3 linked regions of the Oryctolagus cuniculus genome follow. The protein of the gene in region 2 interacts with the protein of the main gene of each other region in a pairwise test. Links are inferred from orthologs where the notes say so. Each region holds a gene or a part of one and is shown on either strand. Other genes may lie near its edges.

Region 1 (6,286 bases), on a different chromosome or scaffold from region 2:
GCTCCACTTCCAATCCAGCTTTCAGCTAATGTACCTGGATGCAACTTACGAAATGTAAACTATCTGAGCCATTACTTGCTGCTTCCCAGGGTGGGCAATAGAAGGAAGTTGGATTGGAAGCGGAATTGAGATTTGAACCCAGGCACTCTGATATAAAATGCTGGCATCCCAGGCATTGTCTTTTTATTTATTTTTTATTTGACAGTAGAGTTATAGATAGTGAGAAACAGACAGAGAGAAAGGTCTTCCTTCCGTTGGTTCACCCCCAAAATGGCCGCTATGGCCGGCGCACTGTGCTGATCCAAAGCCAGGAGCCAGGTGCTTCCTCCTGGTCTCCCATGCAGGTGCAGGGGCCCAAGCACTTGGGCCATCCTCCACTGCACTCCACAGCAGAGAGCTGGACTGGAAGAGGAACAACCGGGACTAGAACCCAGTGGCCACATGGGATGCTGGCGCTGCAGGCGGAGGATTAACTAAGTGAGCCACGGCACTGGCCCCCCAGGCAGTGTCTTAACCACAAACGCCTGTCCTGAATAAATCATTTTCACTGTTGAAAACCTGACCTTGGGCCGGCACCCAGGCTCACTAGGCTAATCCTCCACCTGCGGCACCGGCACACCAGGTTCTAGTCCCGGTCAGGGTGCCGGATTCTGTCCCAGTTGCTCCTCTTCCAGTCCAACTCTCTGTTGAGGCCCGGAAGTGCAGTGGAGGATGGCCCGAGTGCTTGGGCCCTGCACCCCATGGGAGACCAGGAGAAGCACCTGACTCCTGGCTTCGGATCAGTGCAGCACTGGCCGTAGAGGCCACTTGAGGGTGAACCAATGGAAAATGGAAGACCTTTCTCTCTGTCTCTCTCTCTCTGACTGTCTCACTCTGCCTGTCAAAAAAAAAAAAGACAAGACAATTCAGTGTTTTACCTTAGGGCTATAAGGCAATAGATTTGTGATTGCTTGCCCGGGTGGAATGGTAAGAATATATTTTAGTTCCAAAGATTTAAAGGGATAACAATTAGAACTGGCATGGAGACTTTATCTAAAATATTGTTTTCTTTTCTTTTTTAAAAAATATTTATTTTATTTGAAAGGCAAAGTTACACACAGAGAGAGAGAGAAATCTTCCATCCATTGGTTCACTACCCAAATGGCCACAATGTCTGCAACTGGGCCAGGCCAAAGCCAGGAGCTTCTTCAGGTCTCCCACGTGGGTACAGGAGCCACAGCACTTGGGCCATCTTCTACTGCTTACCCAGGCCATAGCAGAAAGCTGGATCAGAAGTGGAGTAGCCAGGACTCAAACTGGCACCCATATGGGATGCCGGCACTGTAGGCCGTGGCTTTACCCACCAGCTATGCCACAGTGCCAGCCCCTCCTTTTTTTAATGTTTATTTATTTTCATATACTTAGAGAGAGCTTCTATCCACTATTGTACTCCCCCAGTTGGCTGTAATAGCAAAAGCCAGGAGCTAAGAACTCCATATGAGACTCCAATGTGGGTGTCACGGGCTTAGGCACTCCTAGGACGCATTAGCAGGAAGTAGGTCAGAAACAGAACAGAAGGGGCTGGATCCCAGGTGCTATGATATGGGATGCATGTGTCCTAAGCGAGGGCTTTACCTATTGCACCCTCCCTTACATTATTGATAGCTACCAACTAAAAGATTTCTCTCCCAGCTCCCCAATAAAAAAAAAAAAAAAAAAAAAAAAAAAAAAAAAAACCTCATCAAAAAAAGAAAATCTCAAAAATGATTGGGTAATTTTTGAATCCTACAACATCAGTGTTCAAAAGTCTCAAAGAAAGAGTTCCGCTGTTTTGGCTCATTTATCAAAATGATTTGCAGAGTTCTACTTCTTTTCCAAGACCAAATACATTCATCAAACACTGAGCTTCAAAGGGGCTTCATTTAGAGTGACCCAACCAACAAATAAATTCACTTCCAAGGGCTCCTTTGTAATAAAAGAGGGCCAGGCTGGCCCACGGGGACAGGACTAAATCAAAAAGGGAAATGTCTAGGCAGTATCAGCCTGAGGAACCCTAGACGAACCAAAAACATGTCTTCACTCTCTCCTGTCCGAGGGTGTTACGCAGAATCCAAGCACATGTGTGTTTATTTCCTCAAAAGAAAATGCAGACTTCCCACGTCTGATTTATGTGCTACAGCCGTAAGAAATGTTTGTGTCTGGAATACATATCTGGGTGCTATACTCAAATAGAGCAGTTTGTAAGCCTGATCTCTCTCTCTCTCTCTCTCTCTCTCTCTCTTACACACACACACACACACACACACGTGTACCTTGAAATGTTCATGGAAAAGGGAATCCAAAGAGATGTTTAATTTGGGCGCAGAAAACGTAGCAATCCACACGTAAATTTTCGCATAGTGTACATTTTTCTAGCAACTTTGTAAAGAGCCCTCGTGTGTACGGATTTCTAAAGGTTTTGCAGCAAAATAAACTTGTCTTTCGAGTCCGCATTCCACGAACTTGTTGAAGTACTCTCGCGTTACACCTGCGACCTACCAAAAAAAAAAAAAAAATCACCTTGGAAGGGTTGCTTCTTTATTGCAGCGAAGCGTGGCGAGGGTGCTCACTGAAGCCAGCCAAGAAACGGCCGTGTTTAATTCTCAGAGCCCTCCACCGGTGACTCAGGGAGCGATGATGTCATATGTTATGCTACAACTGCTGGTGCGGTTCTGCGCGCTCGCTCCAGCCGTTCCCTCTTGCTCCTGGGGCAGCCGGGACTCGCCGGCCCCCAGCCTTTCCCAGCCAGCCAGGAGCAAGCAGGCTGCCTAGCAGCGATGCAACAGGAAGTCTGAGAGCCTGAGCCGGCAGCGGGACCCCTAGTGCTTTCCCACTCCGTGTCCTGGCATCGTTCCCCACAAGTACAAACACACACACAGAGCTCCCATTGTTGCAGCCCTCCCAGCCCACTGATCCTAATATGGAATGCAGCAGGAAACCCATGATTTCCTGAGCTTCGGCAAGCTGGAGGAAGCAAGGGAGGGGGGTGGAAAAACTCCATTAAAAAGCCCAGCTTTCCTCCATGTTAGCTGTGAAGTGGGGAAAAAAAAAATGGGGACGATTTAGCCGAATCCCAGCCGGGCTGCAGACGGGCAGAGCAGAGCGGGAAGCCGCAAGCCGCTGAAATTTCTAGACTGCCAGCGAAGCCTCCAGGACTCTGGAGATGAAGATTGCTTAAACGGAGAAGGGAGAGGATCGGACCCTTCTCACAACCCTCCTCCCTTCCACACCCCACCCCGCTGCGAGTGCCTGTCGCTGTTCGGGACCGCGATGGCGAGCGACGGGGCGCACGCCAGCCTCCGACGTGTCCGGATGCTCCAAGGGACCCCAAGCGAGGCAGAGTGAACTCCGTCCAGCCTGGCACCGGCTCTGCGGGACAAGCGGCGGGAGCAGCAGCCAGCGGGAGTCCCAGCCGCCGCGGCCGCGAGCATGAACTGCACCGAGGGGACTGACAGCAGCTGCGGCTGTGCGGACCACGCCGAGAAGAAGATGCTCAAGTGCGTGGTGGTCGGCGACGGCGCGGTGGGGAAGACCTGCTTGCTCATGAGCTACGCCAACGACGCCTTCCCCGAGGAATACGTGCCCACCGTGTTCGACCACTATGCAGGTAGGGAGAGCCGGGGTGCGCCGGCGGGGGCGGGGGGGAGCGGAGACCCCAGGCGCGCAAGGACCCGGCTTGGGTCTCGCGGCAGCGCTGGGTGCGGGCCTGCGTGCGCGTCATCGGGTGGCTGAGCCTCACGCACAACGTGTGAGGATGCTTCCCAAAGGAGGTGGGCAGGGGCATGGAAAGACACTTTTATGGCGGTGCAAAATGTTGGAACCCAGGCGTAGGTGCGGTGCGCACAGTCTGCGGGAAAGGATTTCAAAAACTTTTGCACCGAAATAAACGTTGTCTTCTGTCTCATGAACATTTTGGAGCACCCTCATTTGAACAAAGCCTCTGCAGGACCGTTGGGAGACCAGTTTGCTTGTGGCGCTGTATCTGAACAGTTTCTCCACTCGTGGAGCAGATGGGTGACACTGGGACACACTCAAACTGCCCCCTGGATTGGGCGTTTTATTCAACATCTGCTTGGAGAGTCACTGCTTCCTGTCAACTTTCTCAAATGTGGCGTGATTGCATTCACGATTCTTTTCTACGGGAAAAAAAAATCACCACTCACACACAACTGGTCAAAGCAAGGTTCCTGCCAGTTCTCATCTCAGATCTGGAAATGCAAAGACTAATAAATAAGACCCTCATTTCTCCTAAAACACTTGGTGCCCTAAGACTATACTTTCATCTTCCTGGGGACCGAGAGCAGGGCAGGGAAGGCAGGGCGTGTTAAAAGCTTGTAAATAACTATTAAGCAACGTATAGCTTGCATTAAAAAATTGTTTTAATTAATATTTTTTAAAGTACAAATGCAACCGAAGCCTGAATTACTTTAAAACCTGTCCCCAAAAGACAAAATCGAGCATGCAATGTTTTAAAGTGTGACGGTGACAACCCTGTAGTCACTATTCTGCCAGCGGATTTTTTTCTTTTTTGAGTGTTCTCAAGTTTGTAGGTGTACTTGTCTGTGAGGTAGCATTATCTAAAATTTCCCATTTTGACTCTCGCTTTTTCTCTTAATTTCTAGAACAAATATTAGTAAGTTTCTCATTTGCAAATTCATGAAAGTCTTGAAGTTTGCAGTAACTCACTTTATAATTGTTTGTTGGGACATGGCGATTGGTACCGTGACTTATCAGAGGTTTGAGAGTCTGTAAGAGAAAAATTCCTCTTCTTTCAATTTGGTTTTGGGTCAGGATCAGCTACAGAGAAATGATCCACAGGAAGGCGACGTGCGTCGCGTCTTTGCTCCGTGGCCATTTGAAGTCATCCTACCATAGGAAGTAGCTTCCTCTCTGGAACTGGACATTTCCCAAGTCCCCTTCCTCCTGCTTGTGTGTGACTTGGGACAGACAAAGCGACAGAGGATGTGGAGTATCTACCTCGCAGAGGGTTTCTCTCTCTTTGTAGACATTGAGAGTCAATGTTAATGCTGGCCCCCTTAAGCTTTTCTGAAAATATGACTATGCCCAGAAAAGAACATTTTAATGAGAGCAGAAAAGAGAGAGAGCGCGCACGTACACTTTCATCTTCAGAAAAAAAAAACTAATTATAAAATCTGGGGATCCGTGCTAACATCTTAGCATAAGTTATTATTCCACCCCTTCTTCCTGCAAGCAAAAGAGAAGTGGCTAGTATCTCCCTTCAAAAACTTCTAGATCAAAGGTAGAACCCAACATCTGCTAAGAGGGGAGGCTTCAGAGGCTTATGAAAATCACGTATAAATCTCTTCATCTATCGAGTGAAGCGGTCACAGCATGCTATCAGAAAGAAAAAGAAAAAAATCTTTAGAGATAGAATTAGCCTGTAAAAGCACAATCAGGGAACATACAAAGGCTGAGCCACAGCAAGATTCCACTACAATCAAATTGATGTTTCATTCAGGCACATACTAGCTATGGTTTGAGCATCAGGGACCCTTGAAGGTGTTGGCTACATATTAGTATATTTATTATTATTTATTTATTTATTTAAGACAGGTGGTTGGAGAGGGCTGTGCTGGGCTGAAGCTGGGAGCTGGGAAGTCAGTTCAGGTCTCCCATGTGGGTGGCAGGAGCCCAGAAGGATACTGTCATCAGCAGTGAGAGTCAGGGCTCAAACCCAAGTTGTCCCAGCCAGTGTCTAAATCACTAAGCCGCACACTCACCCTTACTGTATTGTTTTAGCTCCCCACCTATTCAGAATGGCACTTAGCACGTAGTAGGCATTCTTAAACATGGTTGCTTTGATTTACACTTTATTCCTCTTTAAGTGCATTATCATGGTGCCGGTGCTGTGCTGCAGCTGGTTAAGCCACTGTCTGCTACACCGCATTCTATATGGGCGCCAGTTTGAGTCCTGGCTGCCCCACTTCCAATCCCACTCTCTGCTAATGCGCCTGGGAGAAGAGTGGAAGATGGCCCAAGTGCTTGGGCCCCTGCATCCACATGGGAGACCCGGAAGAAGTTCCTGACTCCTGGCTTTGGCCTGGCCCAGCCCCAGCTGTTACAACCACTTGGGAAGTGAAACAGTGGATAGAAGATTCTCTCTCTCTCTCTCTCTCTCTCTCAGATCACATACATTTTTAAAAATAGCTTTTCGGCCAGTGCTGTGGCTCAATAGGCTAATCCTCCCCCTGCGGTGCCAGCACACCAGGTTCTAGTCCTGGTCAGGGCACCAGATTCTGTCCCAGTT
Region 2 (6,141 bases):
GATCAGCTCAGCTCCGGCTGTTGTGGCCATTTGGGGAGTGAACCAGAGGATGGAAGACCTTTCTCTATATGTCTCTACCTCTTTCTGTAACTCTGTCTTCCAAATAAATAAAATAAATCTTTAAAAAATACTCAAAAGTACGACCAGTGTTGTGGAGTAGCAGGTTAAGCCTCCACATGTGATGCCAGCATCCCACATGGGTGTGGGTCCAAGACCCAGTTGTTCCATTTCTGCCCTACTAATGTGCCTGGGAAAGCAGCAGATGATGGCCCAAGTCCCTGGATCCCCAGCATCCATGTGGGAGACCCAGAAGAAGCTGCTGGCTCCTGGCTTCAGCCTGGCCCAGCCCTGAACACTGCAGTCATTTGGGGAGTGAACCAGTGGATGGAAGATCTCTCTCTGTCTCTTTCTCTCTTCCTCTCTCTGAAACCCTGCCTTTCAAATAAATAAATAAATAAAAATCTTTAAAAAAAAAAAAACACATCTCGAAAGTGAGGGTGCTTATTTAGACTTGCAAAACCAAATTACAAATTCCCAAGAAACAATCCCTGCCTAGGATAGTTCAACAGCAGTTTTCAGGTAATGGCTAAAACAAACAAAATAAAAAGATAAAAAATCCTGCAGGCTTTGGTTGGAGAATGACAGATGTAAAAGGGAAGAAAATTTCTACCTAAAACATCCCCAAAAATGTTAGGAATCCTTTGGATTTACATATTAAAGTGTACTTCCTTTTCATTATGAGAATGATTCTTAACTATAACCCCAAAGTAGCAGTTGGCAGTAAATGGGACTAAATCACCTTATAGTATTCATTCAACAAACTCTTGAGTTCCTGCTCTATGCTGTCATTACTCTAGGCATTAGAATTAAAGCAATGGAGAAAACAGACAAAACTTCCTGTTCTCAAGAAGTTTTCATTCTCTTAAGACAGATTATAAGTGGGATGGAATGGAATGTCAGGCAGTAAGTGTCATGGAAGAAAAAAAGGGAGAAAGGGAGCTACTAGGGTATCAGGAGGCAATTCTGAAACTGGTTTGCAAACTTCAGCAAGCATCAGAACCACTTAAGAGAGCTTGTTAAAGCAAAGGTCTCTGTGGGAGCCCCAACCTCAGAGTTGTTCATGTGTAGGTTTCAACTAGTACCCACTGATTTGCTAACAAGATGCCAGATTATGCTGAAGCTGTGATCCAGGGACCACACTTTGAGAAACTATTAGGAATCTCTAACTCATGGGCCTTGACTTTATTCTTTATACACATATTCATTCATTTAAACACTTATTCAATGCCAGGTCCTTTGCTAGCCACTAAAACTAAACAGATCATGCCCTCATGAAATTCACAGGCTAGTGAAAAAAGATAAGCACAGACTTAACATAATTGTAATACAGTGCCAGACAGAACTAAAAACGTGGTGTGTACATGAGCCAGAGGATGGAAAGGCAACTTATTACAAGGACACCTCTGTAGGCAGGGAAGGTGAAGAAGGCAGACATTCTAGGCAGATGAAACAGCACAAGGGGAAGCACAGATGAGAAAAAAGTGGTAGGAGAGAGTTTACCAAAACTGAGGCTGCAAAGGTAGACAATGCTCAGATCTCCAGTTTCTAGTTCCAAGCTAAGGAGTCTGAAATTTATCTTTTGACAATGAATAGTCAGAGGTAGGAATTACTTAAGTGATTACGCTTTGTTTTACAAAATCCCTGTGGTTACACAAATGCCTTCCTTTGAGGTGCTGCTTCCTTCAAGTCTATACAGAGTCTCAAAACCTGTGCTCAATAAATGTATGTAGAATTTTACTTTTTCTTATGGATGAGGGGCCAGCCTGAAGAACTCAATTTGGCCAGAAGCAAACTTGTAAAACAGGTCCAGCAACCTCAATTATTGCACACTACTCCCTGTACAACTGAAGTCCCCCGGAGATTAGGGCAGGCTGCATTGTTTACTTGTCTACCTCACCCACTAGACTTTGAGCTCTTTGAAGACAAGGAAGGTCTTAACACTCTTGAAATCCCCATGGCTGTGGCAAGAGGCTTGAAGCAGATTCCAGTAATAATGGATAAGAGAATAACTGAATAAGCAATTTTACCAGGTAGACCCACGAGCTCACGTAAAGGTATGTATAAGGTTCAGGGAATGTTTCAGGGTCCATATTCCCAAAACTTTTTTGAGAATTAGAGCTGATGTGGGGTAGGTTTCATATGCACCTGATTCAGGATTTCCCAAACAGAAATTAAAATGCTACAAGTGCCATAGGAGAAATCTCAGTGGGCCTCTGAAAGCCCCAACGGGGAGAAGTCAGCTCTACCTGAGAGGGAGGGGACAGATGCCAGCAAAGACTTGGGGGGAGGCATATTCTTCACTGGACTCTTGAAAGTGAAGTAGGTATGCTGCCTACCTGCCCATTCCAGGGACACAAAAGCAAACTCCTAGAATTTTAAGGCTGGAAGTGACCTGCTCAAGGTCACACAGGAAGTAGGTAAAGCCACAAGGTAAGACAAATGAGGTATCTTTGTACTGTGGACTCCTGTTTTCTCCTGACAAGAGATGAGAAAGCTCAAATACACAGTTGACGAAATTAAACATTTTTCCCAAGAACAATTCTTTAAAGACAAGAGTGATGGATTTGAATGTTTATTGGTAACCACAATACCAACCTTTCCCTTCACCTTTCACAGTTAAAAAATACAGTGAAGTGTAAGACAATTATCCAAGGGGTTTAACAAGGATTTTACTGGCAACACCGACACACACCCAGTACTTCTTAAGTATTCTTCCAAAACACTGCCAGTAATGTTTACCGTTGAAATATTCAAAACAGTGAACGCTGTAATAATGTCTTTTGAAATGGAATAGCTAATACAAAACAACTATAATTCTCCCTTCCTCGATTGTTTTCACCTTCCTAAGTTAGGGAGTACTCCCGGGATGGGGGAAGGGCTGCATAAATCGCACTACTGTTTTCTTTTCAAGTTGAACCCTAACGGTGGCTCTCCAAGCCTGGACTGGGGAACTTTTCCACGCAGAATGAAGCGGGCGCCCTGTGGCCAGGCTTCCCCGTCGCGGGCCACGGTGAGCGCTGCGGGACGGCCAAGTTCGGGACGGAGCTGGTCCCGGACTCGGACCTGTCTGGTCTCCCAGCCTCGGCCCGGCCCCTCCCCCGCCGGGGCCTCCCCCCTCCCGGCCCCCCGATGTCCCGGCGTCCGAGACCGGCGGTCGCGCGGGTGCGTGCACAGGGGGCCTTTGTTGGCCCGACGGGAGCGGCCCGCCTCGCGGGGCGGCGCCCGCCTCACCTCACCTGGCGCCCCCGCCCGCCGGGACCCGGCGCCCAGAATGAATGCGCCCAGGGCCCCCACCCCGTCCAGCCCACCCCGACCGCGCGCCTCAGCCGGGACAGCCCGCAACGCCAGGGGCACCGACCGGAGGCCGGCTCTTACCTTCCGTGCTCGCTCTGCTCCGCTCGGCTCCTCCTCCTGCTCCTCCACCCCGGTGGCGGCGGCCGGGCCGGGGGTGAGCGCGCGAGTGTGCGCGAGCCGCCGCTTCACTTTCTCCCTCCCGCCGCCGCCGCCGCGCGCCTCCCCCCGGCCGCTGGCTCTGGGGATCCCCTCAGGACCGAGGGACCTGCGAGGGAGGGGGCGGTGAGGCGGGAGGAGGCGCTGCGGGGCCGGCTCGGTGGGCTGAGAGGGGCGGGGATGTGAGGGGCTCGGACGGCCTCGGAGGGAGGTGGGAAGTCGATGGGGAGGCAGAGTTCTTTGAGCGGGATTTTGGGGACTGCGGGGTTCGGAGAAAAGAAGAGTCCGAGGGCAAAGTGTCTCCGGAGTAGGACAGCAGAGCGAGGCGGGGAGGCGCGATGGGCGAGCTGAGGGGGAGGGCGTGTGTGGGCAGCCGTGAGGGGGCGTCCACTGTGTAGCCGGCACCTTCAGTTCCAGTGGCAGCCGCTGCCCGCCGCCGCCCCGCCGCAGGCGCCCTATTGTAAGCCGCCTCCCGGGCCCGACCGCCTCGCCCACCGGCCCCCGCCCCGCCCCTGTGAGGCCTCGGCGCCGGCGGAGCCCTGCCCGCCCCGCCTCCCGCAGGTGGGAGGGGGCGGGGAGGGCCGGCTGGCCCACGTGAGCGAGACCAGCCCAGGCGAGGGGGAGGGCGAGCGCCGGGATGACGTCATCGCCTCATGACGCCAGAGGCTGGGGAATCACCCGGTTGCCTGTGACGTCATTGCGCCCGCTCCTCTGCTCTCTGCGGGTGCTCTCAACCCGCCGCAGGTTTCTTTGCTATGGACTTTGTGACTGAAAACCTTTGGGCAATTTCTGGGATGGCTGCAATCGGAAAAAGGCGGCTAACCCTCAGGATTCAGGGACTGCTGCTTACAAAGCACCACCGCATTCGTTAGCTCATTTCCAAGGACTGAATTTGAAAACGGTTTCGTGTGATCTCAGAGCCACATTATCTATGATTCTAATTGTTTTCTTTGGGTAGGATGTGGGAGCCAAAGTGGGGAGACAAAGGATAACCATGGTGACCTGACACAGAAAAAAAAAAATGGCTTCCTTTCCCGTTTTTCTCTTTGTATGATGTCTACTTTCTCCAAACCTTGCCCTGGAGCAAAGATTATGTATTTACCAAAACCTCCCCCACAGCGTTCACCTGCATGCATTGTTGTACCTCAGATTCAACGTGTCCAGTACTGGACAGCATTGGTGGCTGAAAGTCTGGAACAAGATTGTCTTGCTTCAAATACGTATCATCCATATAAATGTTAGTAATAGGATCTTAACGTTTTTAAACCATACTTTCTCCATAATAAGTGGTACTTGTGTATCCTTAACTTAATCTCTCTAAGCCTACCTGAAGCCATAAAAATGATAGTGACAATTAAGCATAGTCAGCCCTTTGGAATGTTGACTATTACCAGTCATTTCCCTCCAACCTTGCGACTCTTGTGCCTTCCTGGTCTCAGTGAATCGACCACACAATCCAGCAGTCAGTGAAAACAGAAACCTGGACGAAAGTCCAGATTCTCTCTACCTGCCTACCAAACTGGACGTCAGGTCTTGTCAATTCTACTTTGCAGGTCCTTGCCCTTCTCTTCCTCCACCATCACATGAACTACTGGCGCAACCTTCAGTTGCTCCAGATCCAATCCACTGACCACCACAAATATGATGATGTCCTCCTCTATTTAAACACTCTGAAAGGTTTTTATTGCTTTCAGGATAAAGTCTAAAATCCTTAACCTGGGACTTCACAACCTGACTTTTTCAGCTCCATCACTCATCATATAGCTTTTCCTCCAGCCACACTAAAATACTATTTAACATTCTCGCAATACACACTTCTTCATGTCTCTGAGCCCTTCACTCCTTATGTGACTGGCCAACACCTATTGATTCTACAAAGCTGAGCTCAAATGTCATGTTCATTTATTTATTTGACTAATATTTCTAGAGTTTCCCTGAGCTTTGACAATTCTGTAATCCTATAGTATTTCCACGCCTTTTATGGCATGTAGTACTTTAATAAGGGAAGGAAAGATAGCAAACATCAGAATTTGCCTTCATGCCAACGGGCAAGGTTTATGAACTTTATCCACGAACTTGATTCTCCCTCCAAATTAAGGATTTTGAGGCGGGGCTCCCCTGCTTTTGGGAGCAGACTCCAGGAGATGGAAAAGCCAGAAAGACAGATCCTCTTCTGAAGCCTCCAGAAAGGAACAGAGCGCTGCCAACACCTTAATTTTAGCCCACTGACACCCATTTTGGACTTCAGAACTACAGAACCATAAAGTAATAAACATTTTCAGCCACTCTATGTGTGATGATAATATAGTGTGTGTCAGCCACAGGAAACTAACAGCAAACTCCAAGGGAAGGTAGCCGCTGGTAACTGGGAGGGGCGTACTTGCTGGAGGTGCCAGGTTCTCAGCTGCACCCATTCACTGGTCTCCATTGCCAGTCTGAGTCCCAGTCCCGAACAATGACTTTAGCATAAGAGAACATTCAAGGCATTTCCTCTACCCTAACTGTTACACTCTGGCCTTTCATCATCGTCTGCTCTTCAGATGAAGAAGAGTTGTTTTGGGGTTTTAGAAAAAAGAAATCTCATGGCGATCATCACACCATGTCTTGAGTTGATAAGTGAGTGACCTGACA
Region 3 (4,340 bases), on a different chromosome or scaffold from region 2:
TGTTCATCTGTCTTCAGTCCTTTAAAAAATCATTTGATTCCTCCCAGAAGCGCTGTGTCGAAATCCAGTCTCTCAGCAGTGCGGGTACTCGTGGTGTAGCGGGATCCTTGCGGGTCTAAATGCAGCACCCAGCAGTGAGAACTGACAGAGTCCACAGGCATGCTATCTCTTGGATGAAACACCCAACAGATGTCTCCACCTCACTCACCTGCAACGCTGTCCGGTTTTTCAAATGAAGAGAAGGGAGCATCCATTCTGAGAGCCGCCATCACTTTTACTCTGAGGATACCAACAACTCTACACGCCAGCAGGCACGCAGGCAAGGTTATACATCAAGTTTATGATTGGGAAAAGGAGTCGGTCTGGTGGGGCATGTTGGAGAACAGGATGGTGGTGTAAATCTTCAAACACAGGCCCATTCAAATGCTCTGGCAAGGGGCTGGCACTGTGGCATAGCTGGTAAAGCCACTGCCCACAGTGCCGTATCCCATATGGGCACCAGCTCGAGTCCCGGCTGCTCTGCTTCCGATCCAGCTCTCTGCTATGGCCTGGGAAAGCAGAAGATGGCCCAAGTACTTGGGTCCCTGCACCCACTTGGGAGACCTGGAAGAAGCTCCTGGCTCCTGGCTTCAGATCAGCTAAGATCTGGCGGTTGCTGTCATTTGGGGAGTGAACCAGTGGATGGAAGACCTCTCTCTCTGGCTCTACTTCTCTCTGTAACTCTTTTTCAAATAAATAAATCTTAAAAAAAAAATGCTCTGGCAAATTTATAAATTCCCAGGTACCAATTAGTGCCCATTAGCCCCCTGCTGCTCCCACGGCCACATTCCTTTTGGGGGCAGGTGTGCCCATCCTCCGGCCTGCATTGACGGAAAACAGACTGCAGCCGCATCTCTAATCCCAGGGCAGTTTGCTGCTCTGAGAGACACGTAGGCAGCGTCCTCTTACAGTTCACTACGACTGGGGCAGTGGGCTGCCAGCCTCATTCTCCATCAGCTTCTAATGGACCACAGTGAAAGGCGACCAAAGAATCAATGAACTCAATGCCAACAGGAATGGCAGAGTCAGGACGTACCACCCGGCTCTGAAATTCCTTCCAAAACTCTGGGTTTGCATCCCCTTGTGCATGACGTCATGCCTAACCGTCTTGGTCCCTACAATGGGGATCACGGTGGTGGTAAGCACGGGGTGGGGAGGACGCGCCATGTGCATCAGTCCTGGTCCACTAAGAGGGCACTGATCCGCGTGCCGTGAGTTGCACTCCCACGGCCTGGCATGCGGCCGCCATCCACTAAACACGGACAGATGGAGAGAGCCAGAGCGCAACATCCGAGGAGGGCCACCGGGAATGCAAAGACTCTGGCTGGCGACCGTCGAGAAAACATTCTGAAGCCAGCAATTCTCAAAGAGCGAAGTTAAGAGCAAGCTTGTTGGAGTTTCCCTCGTTAGCAGGGGTTATTTCAATATTCAAAAACGCGGTGGCAAGAAAGTCACAGGGAGTGCACTCCTGACCCTGCCCTTGAGCCTGGTTCTTCCTTTCAAGCTGGGAGAAGTCACCCAACACAGCGGTCACCCCTCCCCCACAGCAGTTAGCGTCTCCCCAAAGACAAACGCACACAGGATCGTGTCATAATACTTTTTTTTTTATTACAATATTCAAAAAAACTGGGTATGCAAGTTTAGGGGATCGCAAGACCCCTTCTTCCATCATAGGAATGTGCCATCTCAAGACTGTATATTTAAACTATAAAGAAGTTCAAATGTAAAGAAAAAAAGGGAACACGATTTCTTCATAAACATCTTGTGTCTCTGACTACCAATCACATTTTCTTTTGTAAACCCTGAAAAATTTCCCTGTAAAGCAAATAAAATATTTAAGTATATACACACACATACACAGACATGCACACGCATGTGTACAGCGTGCATGTGTGTGCGTGGGTGTGTGTATGCTTGTGTGTGGAGTGTTGGTAGCTCCGCTTCCCCCACAGATCAGCTGTTTTCCTGAATCATCCCGCATTAGTGTCAACAACCAGCTACAGATACGTAGGACTTGGAGAACTGAATACATCACCGTGAAGTTCAAAGGAGCTGCAGGCAAGAGCAAACAGCGCTACGTGGATGGCACACTTCAGGGGTCAACGACCAAAACGCGTGTCTTATCTTGAGTCACCGGGTCCCTCCGTTGCAGAATGCCTCTCGAGGAAAATTCTTTATTGCAAGCACGGCCCCAAGGCACTGGACAGCTCCCTCGTGGCCTGCGCAGCCTGGGGGCCCTGGCTGCGTGCACGGTGGCCCTCCAGCCGTGCCCAGGGTCTCCACGTGAGCAGAGGGTTGCCGCCACTAGTTGGAGAGAAATAAAGTGAAGACACTCGGCCCTTCCGCCTCCTTCTAAGACCAGCCAGGAGGGATGGTCGCACCCGGCGGTGGCGCCCGGAGCTGGTGGGCGCAGCGCGGCGCGGCCCCGACCCGAGGGCCCACGGCACAGGTCACTGCAGCGCCCGGACGAGGTAGAGCTTCTCCCCGTGCTCGCTGGTGAAGATGGGGGCCTTTTTGTAGTGTTCCACCAGCTCGTCCATGGTGTGGAATCGCCGCTGCCCAATGCAGTACACATTGTCCACGAGCTGCACCTTGAAGTGTTTGTTCTTCCCTGACGCTTTGAGAGACACGGAGAAGTCGCTGGGCTGCGGGAGCAAACGGCACAGATTACACCAGGGCCCGAGAGGGCGCGGGCTGCACGCTCTGGGGTACTCCACCCCTCTCCCCACGGGCCACACCCCCGGGCCACAGGGTTCCCAGAGGCGCAGGTGTCTACCACGGCACCTGCCGCTCCGCCCGACGACCCCTGCTCAAGGACTTCATTTGGCTGAGTATTCAGTGCTGAACACACCTCCTTCTTTGACACGTGGGACCCGAATGCTAGGAAACACTTTTCACTTCCCGAGCTGTTTTTGAGAAACTGGAATCTAAGACAAGTGGTTTCCATGCAGGCAGAGGCTAGAAATTTCCCTTCTTCTGACTTCTAATACTATTAGAAATTAAACCTTTTTTTTTTTTTTTAAAGTCTAAGCCATTTAAAAATAAACGCCTAGGGCAGGTGTCTGGCCTAGTGGCTAAGATGCTGGTAAGATGCTTGGCGTGTACAAAGGGAGGAGGGCCTTGCCTCATTTTCAGCAGTGAAGGGAAGGGGGAGGGGTCCTGGCCTCCCTGGGTGACCTCAGCCCCTCGGAGCTCCCCCCGCAGCTGCGTCACCTGGCCCCTGCCTATTGTCCCAATCAATGAGCCTAAAGCATAACCTCCCCCACACAGTGCCCATTCTAGTCCTGGCCATGTTGTTCTTGGGGCCATCTGTCTTCTGCGTGGTTATCATACCCTTAAGCTCAAAGTACAGATGCTCCCCCCCAAGACCAGTCCCACACAAGGTCAGTTGTCTCCTCCGTGGCTTGCTATGTGGCACCAAGTCTACGCCACAACCTAGGGCAGCCAAACCCAGGTCCGCAACCCACTTTCTGCTCTCGTAATTCCTAGGGACAAGCTCTGCTCCTACCCTCCCTCCACCTCCCTCGCAGCCAGACTCTGGCCACAAGTTTCCAAAAGCCCTCAAATAACATTCTTCTGAGGAGAAGGGAGCAGAGCCTGGACACAAGGATTAACAGAGCCCACGTGGGCGCCTACTCAGGAGCATGGGTGTCCGAGAAGATCCACACTGCACAGGGCAGCTGGGTGCACACACTAGCCACAGCTGTTAATATGGGTGTCCGAGAAGATCCACACTGCACAGGGCAGCTGGGTGCACACACCAGCCACAGCTGTTAGCACAGCAGGCAGACAGGGACAATGGAGTTTACAGTTAGCCTGTGCGCTGTCCCTCTGCCCAGGACCAACAAAGCAAGAATAAGCCTTGGAGGGAAAAGCCCCTCTTTATCTCCATGCTACCCGAATGCCTTGGGGGAGCCCCCAGGAAATGCTGGTGAATGAGACTCCAGGAAGAGCCCCGAAGGTCCATCCCCAAAGAGGATGCAGGCCAGCTACTATTTTCACAGCCCCTAGAGGGTCAGACCTGGATGGCACACTCAGGCCAAGCTGCTCCACCAACATGCACATCCACACGGCACCAGGCGGCCTCCTCCTGAGTCACCGTGTGGCCTGCGCACCCTCGAAGTGCGACTGTGCTCACAGGGCTGAACAAGACGACGCAAGCTCGCCCCGCTGTCTCCGTCCAGGTGGGCGGCTGTGTGTGGTTCTGAAGGCCCAACAAGCGGAACCAGGCACTGCCCGACAGGTCTGGTGCACACGGGCAAGCTCCAGACGTCAGCAGTATTGGAGGACCGCGACACTCA

Evidence for each region.
Region 1: the proteins of PAK1 (region 2) and RHOJ interact in binary tests that used the Homo sapiens proteins (3 or more experiments, as listed by UniProt). The link is inferred for Oryctolagus cuniculus from reciprocal best matches to the Homo sapiens genes PAK1 and RHOJ.
Region 3: the proteins of PAK1 (region 2) and NCK2 interact in binary tests that used the Homo sapiens proteins (3 or more experiments, as listed by UniProt). The link is inferred for Oryctolagus cuniculus from reciprocal best matches to the Homo sapiens genes PAK1 and NCK2.

What each region holds. Positions count from the first base shown.
Region 1 is NC_091451.1:7,234,856-7,241,141, reverse strand, and holds the start of RHOJ (rho-related GTP-binding protein RhoJ), read left to right. Parts: upstream 1-2,570; 5' UTR 2,571-3,447; coding exon 3,448-3,625; intron 3,626-6,286.
Region 2 is NC_091432.1:68,609,516-68,615,656, forward strand, and holds the start of PAK1 (serine/threonine-protein kinase PAK 1), read right to left. Parts: upstream 4,019-6,141; 5' UTR 3,436-4,018; intron 1-3,435. UniProt on the Homo sapiens protein: Protein kinase involved in intracellular signaling pathways downstream of integrins and receptor-type kinases that plays an important role in cytoskeleton dynamics, in cell adhesion, migration, proliferation, apoptosis, mitosis, and in vesicle-mediated transport processes.
Region 3 is NC_091433.1:102,700,935-102,705,274, forward strand, and holds the end of NCK2 (cytoplasmic protein NCK2), read right to left. Parts: intron 2,685-4,340; coding exon 2,490-2,684; 3' UTR 1,623-2,489; downstream 1-1,622. UniProt on the Homo sapiens protein: Adapter protein which associates with tyrosine-phosphorylated growth factor receptors or their cellular substrates. Maintains low levels of EIF2S1 phosphorylation by promoting its dephosphorylation by PP1.